Bombyx mori: one gene and its partners. The protein of the gene in region 1 purifies or fractionates together with the protein of each later gene. This does not show direct contact. Links are inferred from orthologs where the notes say so. Each region holds a gene or a part of one and is shown on either strand. Other genes may lie near its edges.

Region 1 (3,515 bases):
TGGCAGAGCAATGCCGGTCTCAAGCCCGGATGAGAAAAGGGGATGATTGAGTTGAAGTTCAACCGTTTCCGCCATAAAACAGTCAACGTCGAATGTCCGGAGCCATATAAGGCTTCAGCGGCCTCGAAAAACTAAATCTCTTCCAAAAGCACTCCCGTGACATGACGCGGGACCCTACCACGTGTATTTTCCCAAGAAATCCTCATGAGGTCACAACCCTCAGCATTGAGGATTATCGACGCAACGAGGAAGTATAAAATATATTTGAGATTTTTTTTTATTGTCCCTGTAGGCAGACAAGCATACGGCCCACATGATGGTGAGTGGCTACCATCGCCCATGGACTTCAGCAATGCCAGGGGCAGAGCCAAGCCGCTGCCTACCGCTTAATACTCTCCACAAGCCTCGTTTGAAGAAGGACATGTCGTATGTAAGTATTTCTGTGAGTGCGCGGTTTGGTCACCTTTCGCTCTGCCGGCGAGAACTGCAGCGCCGCGTCGGGTTGGGCCGCCGCGCGCTCCACGATCCTCTCGATGGCGGGCCGCAGCGCTATGATGAGGGCGGCCGATCGCGGCGACATCTGGAAGTTCAGCCAGTTGTCCAGCCGCACCACGTTGTCCACCTTGGTGAAAAAATAATAATATTTTAATAACACTATTTTATAACATACTAGCTTTTGCCCGCGACTTCGTCCGCGTGGAATAGTTAGTTTGGCATAACGCTAAATTTAACCCACCTCTTCATTTACGTAGAATATCCTCTTTATAAAAACACCCTCACAAATAATGCTTTATTTTAGAACAAAGGACATGGGCCATTTTCGGCCCAGCTACTAGTGCTTTCAAGGACACGAATGAAATATCTATAGAAAAAAACATTTCAATTTTACATATTTATTATAAAATTTAAGGGAAATTTAAGGGTATTTTAATGGTGGGATTATTAAAATCATAAATAAAAAGAAATTAGCATGACTAAGCTACATTGATAATATTGAAGGAGTTGCCATAGGTAAAATATATTTATATTTTAAACAATCCACATTAAATCTTCTTAAAAAAGACATTATATTGCAAAAAAACAAGCAAAATATCAACATATTTAATTAATGGATTTTAAAACTAATATAAAAAATTATATCTAAACAAAAATCTATTTTTATACTTTTAAATCCGTAGAATAAATCATTACATTGATCAATAATTACCGATCATAAGCAAAAACAAAACGCTTGTTTAATGTTTATTTACGTTTTACATTTGATCAGTCGTTTTCGCACTCGTGCGCATTGTGGATATTATTAAGTGTTTCGTTGCCGATATACCTGCTTATTATATTTTGTTGTGCATAAAATTAAGTCTTGGCGTTCATTGAATTAGGTCTGTGGTATAAAGTATAGTAATATAAATAATATTTAAGCTGATGATGATGATGGTAAAGTGTAAGTGTATTGACAGCAAATCATATTATGATAACCTATATCCTATACATTTATGTGTTTGTGTCTCTATGGACTTATTTTTTCGTTTCATCGGGTTTAAAATCGCAACGATTCTAAAGAGGTTTCACTTCAAAAATGAAGATCGACGAACTAACCCATTCCACTTTGTTACAGCCGAAGAGCAGCAGATGTATGGGAGCGACCATGGTGGTCTGCTTGCAGCTGATGGCCCGGGTGCGCACCTTCTCGCCGAAAACGAACAGAGGCGAGGGGAACTTCTGCTCCATGTTGCTGCAGTTCACTGAGGTCTTGTGTATCAATGCCGGTTTCCCTTCCGTCGTTAATACCTGAAATTACATTGGTTTCCATGGCAACACTGTGTTTTAAAAAGATTCGTTAATTGGCCTAAAGGTCCTAGATACCAGGCCATAAGCTAAAAAAAAGACTCGTTAATTTATTTGCTTACTGCTTAATAAAAAAGTACAGGGACACATTCATTTTTATAACGACAAATAGATTCATTCTTACTTTTAAACGACAAGGTCATTGGCCTCATAGTAGCCAATCACTAGTGTGAAAGTGAAATAAATAAATAAATATTACAATAGATTGGGGGGAACCGGGATGCTTTTCAAATCCAACACAAATTTTCAGCGGTTTTTCTTAGGCTAATATAATTGAGATTAAAATAGTTCCAGGGGTTTATATTTTCATATACGATGCGCTATTAGACATTGAAAAATATACACAAAACTTAAAAAACTAGCTTGACCTGATTCACCTTGGCTTTTGGGGTGAATCGGGTCACGTAGGGGGACAAGATTATCGATAGGGCTGGCAGTTTTTTTAGTTGTTAGGTAGGTACTTACCTTTAGGTAATTAACTTTTCAATATCTTTAATCAGTTACAAAACTTTGGTGACTACATCAAACTATTTATTATATTCTTAAGCACCAAATAAAACTGCTTTTCTATTCAACAAATTTAAATCTCACAAAAGCATTGTGACAACCAAGATTTGTCCCTATTCTACCCTTAGTCCCTATTTCCCCCAATCTACAGTACAGTATTAGATATGGTTACCTTCCTCTTCCCTTGGTGTAGACAAACGTTAGGGTACAGGCCCATGCACATGAGGGCTATGACCAAGTCCAAAGTTGGGTCCGGTCCGTTCGGCATCCAACGTTGTGGAACACAGCATTCTTCGTTGAAGCCTATTGCGGTCGTGAGGATATCTGGAATATACGTTAAATTTGTTAATTTTATTTGGCTCTCACAACTTAAAATGAGTCGACTATTATCAAAGGCGGCAATCTGACTTTTGGACAATGATTGGTAAATCAGAAAAACGAATTATTTACTTTGTATTATATTGGCAGTCACAAAACTCTTCGGAACGACATCTTAGATAAATAACAGGTTAACTATTAACCTTTATTTAATGCAGGTTTTGAACCGTATTCTTTGAAGGAGACGATTATATTCAAATAAATCTGTATTGACATATCAATAAAAAGTTTTTGTCCAAATGTACAGATTGCCACCTTTGATAATAGACGACTCAAATAACGTTAGAGCGATAACTATGGTTTTAGTGTATTAATATTATTTTTAATTTTCGAATTACATTTTAGCAAAAATAAGCAATTTTTTAAATGATGTTCATATTAAACCGTCTCTACGGACTCGTATCTTCTTCAAGAGATAACTCAAAATGAAACAATGAGCATGAGGCAACATTGCCACCACTATAACCATTAAGTCTATGACCAAAAAACACACACGCACTCAAGTTATATAGACTTATTGACAGATATGGAATTTTGATTTAATTTTTCTGCGGTTGATACAATTCAGAATTATAAAACCAATACTGTGTAATTACTTGACCCGGTGATAACTGTGGTGTTTCAATATACATAGAATCCAAATGACATGCAGTGTTTCTATTATTCCGAAACACTCAAAGAATTTTTAAAAGCACACGACTTATCATATAACTCATTTCCAGATTTAAAAAAAAATCTAGGTCCCAAAAATAAGTTCTAAACACAGTTAAATACGGTGCAAGCTT
Region 2 (4,052 bases), on another chromosome or scaffold:
GTGGTAAGATAGCCTGAAAAATCACAAATAAGTATTTCATATTATCACTATTAATTGTAAATTGTCGATATAAAAACAGCTTTGAGACATCAAATTTTAGTTTTTAATTTACTAGAAATATATTTTATTTTCGTGTTTTTGTTAATATAATATTGAAATTCACTTATATGTTTATTATATTATTATTGTCATGTTCGCAAAATGTTAGCATAGAATATATAAGGGAAACTTTCATAAACTTGCCTTAGACATTTTCCGAGGACCTCTCTGATAAACCTGGGTTTTGGATGTTCAGGATCTAATTGGAGACACGCCTCCCAATCTTCCCATGACCATCTGTACTGGAAGTTGCTCAAATGGTAGGCAAACCAGTTCGCAAACCTTAAAAAAAAGACTACTTTAAAATATTATTTACTATTCAACTGTAATCTTCTTTAAGTGATATTTAAGATAACAACATTCTTCTATTCAACATTGTATCATTTTGTGAAATATGCTTGAACAGAAAACCCCAAAATAAAATTTTATATTGTTCATTAATTATCCCATAGCTATACACATGCACATACATACATTTAAAGAAAAATATAAATTAAAAGATAAGGTGTAAGTGTCTTGAGTCCACAAAATTAAAATGAAACTATCAATGTATTCAAATTTCATCCAAGGTTAACATACCTGTCAAAGCAAGCAACATTCATGGTGTCAATCCTCATGAACAAAATTTCAGTAGCTTGAGCTAGAACCTGTGGCATTGTTGATGGCTGAAGCTTGCAAAGTTCAATTAATATTGAACCATAACATATCTCCAAATACCTTGGTTTTGGCAAATTAAATAATTCAGCAAATATCACCTCAACTATGCAATATTCCAGAGGAATTTTGGCTTTGTAAGGAAAGCAGAGGAGTTGAGCAGCACATTCTTTACGTTCTAAATGATATGTCTCAATAATATTGTGCAAATGTTCTTCTATCAAGAATCTCTCTATAGAGTGCACTCCAGGCAAAACTGGTCCGTCTGGACAGTCTGTGTAGTCAAACATACGGAATATAACCCGAGGCATTGGATAAGTATCAGTGTCATTATGGGGTGGTGGCTGAAATATAAAAACATCATCAATTATTACCATATGATTTGTAAACGAAAATATTATATTGGTGCAACTTTTTAAAAAAAGTTAACTTTTTATTAGTTTTGTTACCGCATTTATTAGTCAATCTTTACATGTAACATTTATTTATGGCACCCCTGGCACACAAGCTGAAATAAATTAGTCTGCAACCTTTGCTTGAAGAAACACATGTTCTTCAAGCCTCGAACTTCCACAGGGCAAGTTACTTCTAGTTCCAAAGTGTGTGTAAGGTAAATTAAATAAAATGCACTAGAAGTGGGCAGCTCCAGATATAACTAGTAAACTGTACTTTGGTGGTAATGAACCATATAAATACCATAATCGAATACCATAATCGAACAAAACCAAAGTATGTAAACTTTAACTAATTTGTATTAGAAAATCATAGTATATCTATTATAAATTCATATGATACCTGAATGGCAGGAAGTGTGTGTTGTAAAGCTTCACAAAGAATAGAGTCAAAGGCAAGATATGGCCTTGGAATATGTTTCTCTGACCAATTGTCTTGTTTCAACTTCTTTATCTGAGACCAGAGGCAATCCAAATATTCTTCTTGTAAATGAGGTGAATCAGCCGACCACACCTTTAAGGCTGGCCAATGTTTCTTACTCCGTTTATTCAAGAAAACCTCTATAGTCACAAGTAAGTGATCTAATTGAGATTCCTTCTTTTCATACAACTCCCGACCAACCCAAGGTAATGCTGACAGCACCGCAAATACAAACCAATCCCTTCTGACGTGAGGTACTCCATCTTCATTAGCAGAATCTACTAATGTCTCTAATAAAGTCAGCAATGATGAAGCAGCCAATACGTGACAGTTCACCAAGTCCGCAATGAACCTTAGACAATACCTAGCAGCATTCCATTTCCCGACTTTAAGATTTTCTTTAAAGGTTTTTACTATGTAATCAACAAATTCTCCACCAAAGTTATAATTCTTTGCATTCAACAAACCAACAAGAGTTGCATAGATTGTACATTTCTCGGGCATGCGGATAGCACAATCCGTTAGTATCCGTAGTATTTTAACTCTAAAGGTACTCAAATCGGCTTCCAGTACACTTGCTAATCCTTCTAGGTTACTCTCCAAACTGGAACTACTTTTTTCGCCAACTCTTAAAATTAAGGACTCTAAGCGATCCTCGATTTCTTGGTTTTCAGATACACGACGCCTTTTCCGATGGAGGCGTTCTGAAAATAGTAAAAACAATTACATACTTCACAATGTACAAATAAAATTAAATATAACCTGTATATGTTTGATCTTAACAACTCACCATATCCTTCTTCATCATCATGTCCTCTACGACGGTTCATAATAAAATCACTGTGCGTATCACAAATCTTTGACTTTTCTCTTTATGCTTTTGTTTACGAAATCGTATTTTACGTTTAGAACAGAAAAAACGATAGCAAACTCAACAAGCTTTGAATAAATTTTCAATGTCTTCAACTCCGAAATCTTGCGACAAAGCAGTGCTGTCAGATGACCGTGTGAATTTCCCTCCAACTTTTTTTTAAAACCCCCCGAAAAATAAGCTTTTTGAAAAAAAAAACCAAAACAGCTTTTACTTAATTTAATGAAGAAATAAAATACAAAAGTATTCTTTTATTGGAACGAAGTTCCTTACGGCAAGCTTGGAGGGGATAGGGATTTTGCTGCGCGACCGAACTGAAAAAAATGTGATAGTAAAACCGTAAGAAAAAATCCGTGGAAAAAAGTGCGTGGAATAAAACCGTTAAATGAGACGTGCGCAGGCGCGACAGTCGCATACACAAGCGAGTAGTGTATATACCTTTCTCTTTCTCCTTCTTACTTTTCGTTCTCTAATCCCTTCTCTCTCTATTTAGTAATTATTTCTATTTCTATGTAATTTTATGTTGTCAACCAAAAATAAAGAGATATATTTTGTTATTTTAATTGATAATTTGAATTACTATTTTTTTTATTTTACGTAATTTATTATTTTCTAAAATACTCAATTTCCTAAATACTTTCCCGTGCTTAAATAAAAACTAATCAGCAAAATTTAAGAGAAAAACCAAGAAAACCTACATAAAATTGAGCACCATTTCTTTTTTTGCAAATTGTGTCGATTCTACATTAGCCCAAGGAACTTCGTTCCTACCTGGTGTCCCACGACACCACATCTTTTTTATTTTTTAATCAAGCTATCCCATAACTTCAACCACCTCTAAAAAATTTTTTACAATCATATTCACTTTCGTTTTTATTATATAAAGAATACACGTTTTCGGAGTTAAAGATTAAAAATCTTACATGTCCGATGTGGGAACAAAATTTATGGATCCTTATGGCAGTGAATATTGAATCTCGAGAACCGCTTCGACAGTTTCTATTGCCTATTCATCCGGTTGCGTAATTTTTCCTTTATAATATTGTTTTGTGCATAATACGTATAGTAGATTATAAATATTCTAATAGTGATGGGAATTGTGTTTGTGGATGAATTATATAGTGCTCAAAAAACCTCCGAAATTTCTCCCAACTACCTTTTTCCCCCCAAATGTCCCCTAAAGAATCTTCCCCGCCGAATCTCATCTTCAAGGTCAAAAAACCCCCGAATTTGCAGGAATTCCCCCCCATCTGGCAACTGTACGACAAAGTGACAATCTTGAAATATCGTGTCAAGTTGTCAACTGTCAGGACTTTTTCTTTCAGTAACTGACAGTAGAGTTCATTTCCCAAAGGTCTTCATGAAACATCATTACAGCCTATCTTTTATTAACTATTTTTTAAAAAATGATATGGTGCGTAATAAGGTGAAATTGATTTAGACTGTAATAAATTGGGATGACACTAAATAAAATGAGCTGAGATGGGATTGTAGCAACTAAAAAATCCACTGTCACAACTATAGTCGGATTTTTAATTAGACGAAGCCAGCTGAC
Region 3 (4,037 bases), on another chromosome or scaffold:
GAGTTATTGGAAAAATATATTTACATAATACGCGATTTTTCTTCAATATTAATTTGTTTTCTTTTTCTTTGCGACATTTTGAAAGTTTCACGAATAACTCCACAAAGTTTTGGTGCGTCTTGTGTATAGATAAGTAACAAACTAACTGAAGAGATATGAAGAAGCGGGCTTTGACTACCGCATGCACGTGTTTTGTTTCTAAGAATTAGAAAAGACCCTACACTAAACTAAATCCTATTGTTTTCTTTCCTGATTTTAATAGCCATTGAAGACAAATGTGGATACCTATTCAAATAGTTTACAATACAGCTAGCCGGTCGTTCTAACAGATCTAATTCTCCGAAATATTAGTTAAATGTGGTTGTTTTATGAGGTATGTCGTTATTACCAATATTTTTAATAAGGCGGTCATATGGCATTCAGCCGGGACCTTTGTTCTTGGTTATTATAACCGGCATGTTGTATTAAACGATGTCGCAGTAAACGGTTTTGACTGTAACTATTTTTTTTAATTAGTAACTACACCAACATGCAGCGCACACTGATCAAAGATCCTCACAGTACTAATTAAAGTTAAAATAATACTTTTCAAGGTTTTCTATTGGGGCTAGAAAATCAAGGGTGTCCTTTACAATATAAATAAATGAATGATTATCTGCAAATGAGCATTGCCTATTTGTAATGTCTGTCCTATTTAAGGATTTCAATTATTACATTTAATTGAATACCATTAGCAAATGGAATTATTTTTATGCTTTTTTTGCTCAACAAGATCCCACTAAACGTTCAACTACTACCTGTTCGTAGATTTAAGAAAACTGTTTAAAGCTAAGGATTATTTACTAGATGGCACTACGTGGGAATGAGGCGCTCACTCCTGGCCTTTTCATTTTTCATTATTATAATTTTTTTTTTAATTGTATTTTTTTGACTTGTTTTTTCTTTTATTGTGAATATTTCTATTTATTTAAAAAAAAGAAAATATTTGAGAAAAAAACAAAAAAAAAAGCCTGCTGAGTTTGTTTCGCCGGTTCTTCTCAGGACTGTGGCTTTTTTTGGAACCGGTGGTAGAGTTAACATTGTTATTTGTATTTTGACATTCAACAAGTGTGTCATACTGACATCTAAGTTGAAATAAATGATTTTGAATTTGAATTTGAATTTGCTTAGATGGTAAATGTGCTCATAGACCACCAGATGTTAAGTGATTACAGAACTTACAGACATCACAACATAAATTCTGTCACCCACCTTGAAACATGAGATTGTGATCTTAATTGATTTATTTAATGCCTTCAAACTTGAACACGTAACTGCTTAGTGATAGAAATACAGTGCTACAGTATTGCAACACGTGTTATCACCATTATACATTGATATATTATTATGTATATTGGATATTGAAAAATTTATCCATGTTTATAATACATGTTATTAGGATTTGAAATAATCGTTATTCTAAAAATGGTGAAATAGATTATTTTAAATTTTAAAATATAAATGTTATTCCTATTCTAAATTGAAAGAAAGAGCACACCCACACTAAAACTGGAAAGAATGTCACATACCTCTATGCAGGAATGAAAATCTTTAATTTCATTCCTGGATGAAAGTGTGTTTTTAATGTACCCTGCTTGATTCTAAGACCTTTCTGATTTTGAAAGGCCCAAGATAATTTTGCAGGGATGATTTTTTTAATTTTGAATAATTCTGTAAACTCCCAAATTTACCTCAATGACTAATTAATTTAATCTTCAATGTTATTGTTGTTACTAAATTGATTTGAATGAGCTAAGCATTGGACCTACAGAATGTTGATGCATTTCAAACCCATACCCTGATTAATTGTCCCGTTTTGTTTCTGAATGAGAACTCATAGTTTATTTGTATTGTATTAAAAAAAAATTATCCAATTGAATTGTTAGTGGGTACATTTGTTTTTGATATTACGCACCAGGTTTCTGAATTTTGCATTTAGTGCACAACCTGTGATGCAAGATGTGTTTTTTTCAAAAAGGCTAATGATCTGATGTAAGTACATAATATTAAAATATGATAAATTTTGTTCAGAGTATTAGTACTTTTTGGTGATGATCAAAATTTTATTTAAATATATTCATATGTCCATATAATTTTAGTTTTGTTCAGTTCATCAATTTAACATGAAGCTAGTACCACCGCAGAACTTACTAGTTAAGGAATAGGATTAGGACTCACCAAGGGGCTTGGGTTTAATGGAGTGTTCGTCTTCTTTATCGGCTAGAAAACGCATTTAAAGTATTAAATTTGTCTAATGATTTCCCATTATTTCGTCATTTGTGTGCAACAAATTTGTTAGAAAAAATAATTTCCTTTTAAATTAACGTTAACAAATACCTTATTTTATTATTGGTGATACATTTAAAGACCAACGAAGCATGGTGTAATTATAACCTATAATGGAGATAGCCGGAAATTTAATACCTTTCGTGTGAAGCGCCTTCAACCCGCAGCCGCAGCTGCAAGTATTGGAATGGTTGTGTAGCAAGCTGGTGGAAGCCAGGGTCCCATCTAACCTTCGAGAGCAGCTCATGTGCCATATACCCCTAGTAAAGTCGCGTTTCACAGCCGTCTGTGTGCGACTAACCAACCCGCTTAAGTTCGCAGTTTTAACGCATGTTTGCAGCACTCTATGGGTCGCTTTAACTATGCCGCTCATTTTTCCTGCTTATTGAACTTAATGTTCACTTTTCTAAATTTTTTTACAAAACTTTAGTCAGGTTGAAAAAGTGAATGAGAATTGAGACCACAGACGACTTTAGTTGTTTCACGATTCGTCTATTGGAGGGGCAAAGGAATAGCCTATACAAGATTTTTGCTTCGGAAAAGCTGAAGTCAGTGCTTAAAAACTATAAATGAAATAATTATGGACATGAAATTGAATGAAATGAAATAGATTTAAATGAGAGGATGCAACATTTTAGGAGTTGGATGAGATGAATATTTTTAACATAATATGAAACTGAATCTTCTGTTTCGTAAGGTGGAACCGTGTATTTAAAGTTAAAATAAATATAAAGAAAAAACTGGTAGTAATATATGCGACATGCATGCATGGATAGATATCGACCTTTCCCTATTGTTAATACATGCCTATGCCAGTTTTGTTTCTCAAGGTGGGTGATGGCATATCCTGAACTCATTCCCGGTCTGGCGCAATCGAATACTTTGTGTCAAATGGCGGGAGTCTGTAAATAATTTACTTAATTTAAATCAAATTATTTCTTTAATTTAAATCAAACTTTTTCATTCGCTCCGGTTTTTTTTTACCTAACTAAGCTGAGCCTTGAGAGGCTATATCAGCATCGCCTTAACTAATAGGTGAGCTCACGGGGCTCAAACTTGATGATAGCAATGTCATCAAGTTTGAGCCCCGTGAACACGAATCCTAGCAAGAGCCATGCTTCGCAGAATCTATCACCGGATCGGAATCGCGACCCACTGAGAAGATCCGTCGAGAAACTCAGTGGGCTGTGGCTATGTCTGAGGGTTAAACGCTTCGAGAGTTAATTGCATAAAACCAGCTGTTTTATTCTATTTCTGAACATTTGTGAAAGTGCACAAAAATGAAACAAATCCATTGAATGTAGTTTTTCGTAAAATGAGTTTTTCGGGTTCGGTATTTTTTAAAATTTAAACGTGATTTGCGGTTTAATCTCGCTTTTATTATTTTTATTTCACTACTGCTAACGTTTAAATGAGGTAAAATTAGATAAGACCATCACAAGTGATCATTTATCATTTCTGGTGACATAAAATAACTTTTCAGTAAAATGACGAGTACATCTAGAGCCACCTGGACTTTTTTAAAACTCGATAAATTTTGTTAAATAGACTTCGGGTGTGTGTTACATAAGATAACGTACGGGCAACATTCCCCTTGCTAGCCCATTGGAACGATAAAAATTTAGGATAAGTTTTTGACAATTGACATTTAACAACTTGGACTTGGTTGGAACGTGTTTTTATTCAAGCTATACAATATTAAACGCAAATTA
Region 4 (3,988 bases), about 2.0 Mb from region 1:
AACACCAATTACATAATTTGAATTTTTACTCTTGATTATTGAACGGGTTTTTTATTCCTTAACATTGTTATAAGTTAAGACTGTTTTACATTTATTTTTAGAAATTAAATACGATTAACCTTAGTTTGTACACAAATTTCAAATTGAAATGTCAAAAATTTCCGTTGAATGTTGTTGCCTCAATTTTTTTAATGACTGGGATAAATGACAACCGAGTATCCTTCCATAAGTTGTGAAAAAAATTTTTTTTTAACAATATACTGAGTTGTACAAAACACGGCGATTAAAGCAAATGATGAACTGGAGTACATGTTTTCTTAATTGTTTTATCCTACAACATATTTTTTTCTGAACCTCCCAGCTCTGAACATAGAGGCGACCATAGAGGATGTTGCTAATGCTCTTGCATCTTTTCAGAGTGGTTCTGCTGGCGGGCTTGATAGCCTAACTCCACAGCACCTTAAAGATCTAACTAGTGGCAGCTGTGGCGCCGTCGGCCAGTCGCTTTTAAAAGGCTTAAAAGATTTAATTAATTTTATGCTTTCGGGTAAAGTCAATGATAAAATCATAGACATTCCTACGACTAGGTATTTTGAATTTACAAATATTAAATCATAATTGTAGATGATGTAATTGTAGGATAATTAGTAATAAAATACAATAAAAGACTTGCATTGCCCGAGTTTATGTATGCAAATACGATTCGAAAAAAATAGCTGTCATAATTTCATCCACTATCAGTTTTAAAACGAACAAAAACGCTTTTTTTGTTGTGGTTGTTTGATGGATAAATCTACTCAAGGCTTTCTTGGTATAATAAGTGATAAAGTGAATAAATTGTCCTTAATCTATAAATATAACAAAATGAATGCCGACATCCATTTGGGTCATGAAGTTGAAGTTGAAGTATTTTTTGAAACTGAAACCCACGGCTGCTTCGTAGCCGAAATGGGCAGAATGATAATAACTAGAGATTGTTACTGTAATTGTTGGATTGTAGCTAAGGGATTACAATGTGCCATACTATTAATAAATAAACATAGTTAACAATTAAGAATATACTTTTGAGACCATGGTGAAAAATGTTATAATGTTTTCATAACGAGTATTATATTATATATAGTACGACTTGAAAATTTTAACGTATAACATTTTTTTAACTCTCTTTTCCAAAGCAAGCGAGGCTAAAACAAACTGTGTAGCTCAAAATTAGCCCTACTTATTTATTATATTCTACTTAATACTATAGTCAGAAATAAAAACGCTTAGCTTTTTAAATACAAATGTGAAATACCTCGGCTTCCATTTAAATAATAGCTTGTCGGCCATAGTATTTGCTAAATTGGAAAAGATTTTAGTGTAAGTATTTTAAATCTATGTTCCCTTGGTCTATGCAACCCAAACAATAAAAAAAACATTCCAGCCACACACAAGCATCAAAGCTGTAACTTAACCTCAAAATAATTATAATAGGGGAGCAAACGTAACGCACGTGTTTGTTTTTCCCCTAAATAATATGATAATGATTATGATATAAAACTACTAAAATGGTGCGTATTAAAACGATGTGTTATGACTTTGTTACGCTATTGTGAGTTATTTAAACCAATTTACATTGCAGAGTAAGTTCTATGTGTTATTCGAACACAGCGCGGGCTTTGCGTTGTTCCGCGTTGCTGAATTTGAAGAGTTAGCGGCTTTCCTGCCTCAGGTCGAAGAGTCCGTGACAGATTTGCAACGTTTTAATGCTGTTGTGACTTTAATAGCTTTCCAACCACACAAGTCGGCGATCGTTGCTTTGGAAAATATCAACGCGGTATCTGAAGGTTAGTTTTCGACTTCTCCTTGTCTTGTACTTTTAGTACTAATTTGGAATTTCGAAATATTTGATGTTTCGTCAATGTGTTGTTAAACTCCGAAGAGTCGTTAATGTGTCTGCAAGCTATCGACCTTGATTTAAGCTTACAAAGCCTCCACTACTATAAGTTAAAATTCTAGGGTCAGCAGACTAAAGCACATAAGTCAAAAAACTCTACTTTACAGGAATTAAAAAAAACTATTTAGAATCTTATACATTAACAAACTTAATAATGTTTATTTGAATTATATAAGTTTATAACACTAACTTATTATTAAAATTAAATATTTTAAAGTAAATGTGATTATTTAATAATTAGATGACTTAAGTTATAAGGAACACAATAATAGTATGAGTTAAGTGAAAAAGATCAACAATTAAGATATATATTATAATAATATAAGTCATAAATATAAATAACAACTCAATGTTTAATTAAAATTCTTCTTCTTATTCTATTATTCTTCTTCTTCTAAATATCTGGATCAGTATTTCGTAAAGTTTCCAACGTGGGAAGACTTATGTAAAATTCATGGAAAATATCTAGTATTAAAGGGAGCAGCGAAATTAAATCATTTTTTTTCTCGATGAATATGGGTAATGGCTGTATAGATATTATATCATCAGTTTGAGATCCCCCAATGGATGATCTCCTTTTCATAGCAAATGTCTTTATAAAATTGTCACTTTCATCTAACGGTTTCATTAAACATCCTCGGCAGACAGGTTCACCTTTACCATGCACAGTAAAAAAGTATTTTTATGTCTTCATTCTAAGCTTTTGCTTTTCAGTTTCAATAGCTCGTATTCTTTGTTTAGATTTATCTTGAATTTCCATTAAAGACGCCAAGTATGCAGATGTTTTTGCATATGACCCCATTTGCCAATATTCTGTAAATATGGCACGCCTATCAGTTAATGGTATACGTTCTTTACATTTCATTCTGCAAACAGGTAACTCTTTCAAATTCAAAATCATTTATTTCAACTTAGATGTCAGTATAACACACTTATTGAATGTCAAAATATAAATAACAATGTTATCTCTACCACCGGTTCCAAAAAAAGCCACAGTCCTGAGAAGAACCGGCGAAACAAACTCAGCGGGCTTTTTTTTTTGTTTTTTCTCAAAAATAAATTTTTAATTCATAGTGCGATCTGATATACATTTTCCTTTTAAAGTTTTGTATGCCTGTCCTAAGTTACGTTTTATTCTTTTTTCTTTTTTTATAGTACGTATACTCTTTTTTGGAGACACATTAGGATTCATTGAAATTTCATCACAAGTACTTGAACTTGATGTGATTGGAAGTCTCGGTAATTCATAACATGGATATCGTACAGAATCATCACTAGAGAAGTCAAGTACAGAATAGTATGTTAAGCTACTGACTTGACCTGATGATGTCGACGGTATAGGATCGTCTACTACTAGGTTCTACTAGAACTCTGTGTTCAAAATCGACTGTTGATTTACATTTTCTAAAAAAGGACAAGACAATTAATTATCTATTTATAATGATATAATATTGATATAATTACGTAATTTGCAAATCATAATTTTGAAGATATGTGAAAATATACCTTCATTGCTTTCCAGATGAGTGGATGATGCCATTTCAACTAATTTCTTGCCTCTTTGAATATTCATCTTAAATAATTAAAATACTTAAGCACTCACACAAAACTAACCAACAAACTGTGCACAATCGACAACATTAGTAAATTAAAACCACTTACCGAAGTATTGTTTACGTTATAAATATTTTTAAGTAACCACTTTCTCTAAAGAAATGTTACATTTTGATGTTCTTTATAACATAAGTCAGACTTCTTACGTTAATAACTTTGTACTTATGGTGTTCCTTAGAACATAAGTCCAGTTATGTTTTTTAGTTCGTTTGACTATATTAGGATTTGATAAGGTTGATACAGAACGCCGCTTGAATACGCCATGAAATACTTGAGTTTGATTTATGTGCTTTAGTCAGATTGTGTGTTGAGCAAAATGTAAACCGATGATGTAATAAAAAATAAATTGAAAATTTTGACTTATGTGCTTTAGTCTGCCGACCCTAGAATTATCATACGGATTCATTAAGGTTTCTCGGGAGTAAATATTAATTTTAG

What was found. The genes of interacting proteins can lie anywhere in the genome.
Region 2: the proteins of MLE (region 1) and nuclear cap-binding protein subunit 1 purify together in Homo sapiens (co-immunoprecipitation; 3 studies listed by BioGRID and IntAct, with this or other methods). This does not show direct contact. The link is inferred for Bombyx mori from reciprocal best matches to the Homo sapiens genes DHX9 and NCBP1.
Region 3: the proteins of MLE (region 1) and mitochondrial matrix protein p33 purify together in Homo sapiens (affinity purification with mass spectrometry; 3 studies listed by BioGRID and IntAct, with this or other methods). This does not show direct contact. The link is inferred for Bombyx mori from reciprocal best matches to the Homo sapiens genes DHX9 and C1QBP.
Region 4: the proteins of MLE (region 1) and nucleolar protein 56 purify together in Homo sapiens (affinity purification with mass spectrometry; 3 studies listed by BioGRID and IntAct, with this or other methods). This does not show direct contact. The link is inferred for Bombyx mori from reciprocal best matches to the Homo sapiens genes DHX9 and NOP56.

The regions. Positions count from the first base shown.
Region 1 is NC_085132.1:4,401,528-4,405,042, reverse strand, and holds part of MLE (MLE protein), read right to left. Parts: intron 2,677-3,515; coding exon 2,525-2,676; intron 1,789-2,524; coding exon 1,597-1,788; intron 623-1,596; coding exon 464-622; intron 1-463. UniProt on the Homo sapiens protein: Multifunctional ATP-dependent nucleic acid helicase that unwinds DNA and RNA in a 3' to 5' direction and that plays important roles in many processes, such as DNA replication, transcriptional activation, post-transcriptional RNA regulation, mRNA translation and RNA-mediated gene silencing.
Region 2 is NC_085127.1:11,154,187-11,158,238, reverse strand, and holds the start of nuclear cap-binding protein subunit 1, read right to left. Parts: upstream 2,809-4,052; 5' UTR 2,457-2,808; coding exon 2,417-2,456; intron 2,331-2,416; coding exon 1,549-2,330; intron 1,098-1,548; coding exon 679-1,097; intron 382-678; coding exon 244-381; intron 14-243; coding exon 1-13. UniProt on the Homo sapiens protein: Component of the cap-binding complex (CBC), which binds cotranscriptionally to the 5'-cap of pre-mRNAs and is involved in various processes such as pre-mRNA splicing, translation regulation, nonsense-mediated mRNA decay, RNA-mediated gene silencing (RNAi) by microRNAs (miRNAs) and mRNA export.
Region 3 is NC_085114.1:15,035,370-15,039,406, forward strand, and holds the start of mitochondrial matrix protein p33, read right to left. Parts: upstream 2,809-4,037; 5' UTR 2,699-2,808; coding exon 2,464-2,698; intron 2,260-2,463; coding exon 2,218-2,259; intron 1-2,217.
Region 4 is NC_085132.1:2,385,140-2,389,127, reverse strand, and holds the start of nucleolar protein 56, read left to right. Parts: upstream 1-1,180; 5' UTR 1,181-1,547; coding exon 1,548-1,550; intron 1,551-1,621; coding exon 1,622-1,826; intron 1,827-2,153; exon of another isoform or gene 2,154-3,509; intron 3,510-3,598; exon of another isoform or gene 3,599-3,940; intron 3,941-3,988. UniProt on the Homo sapiens protein: Involved in the early to middle stages of 60S ribosomal subunit biogenesis. Required for the biogenesis of box C/D snoRNAs such U3, U8 and U14 snoRNAs. Part of the small subunit (SSU) processome, first precursor of the small eukaryotic ribosomal subunit.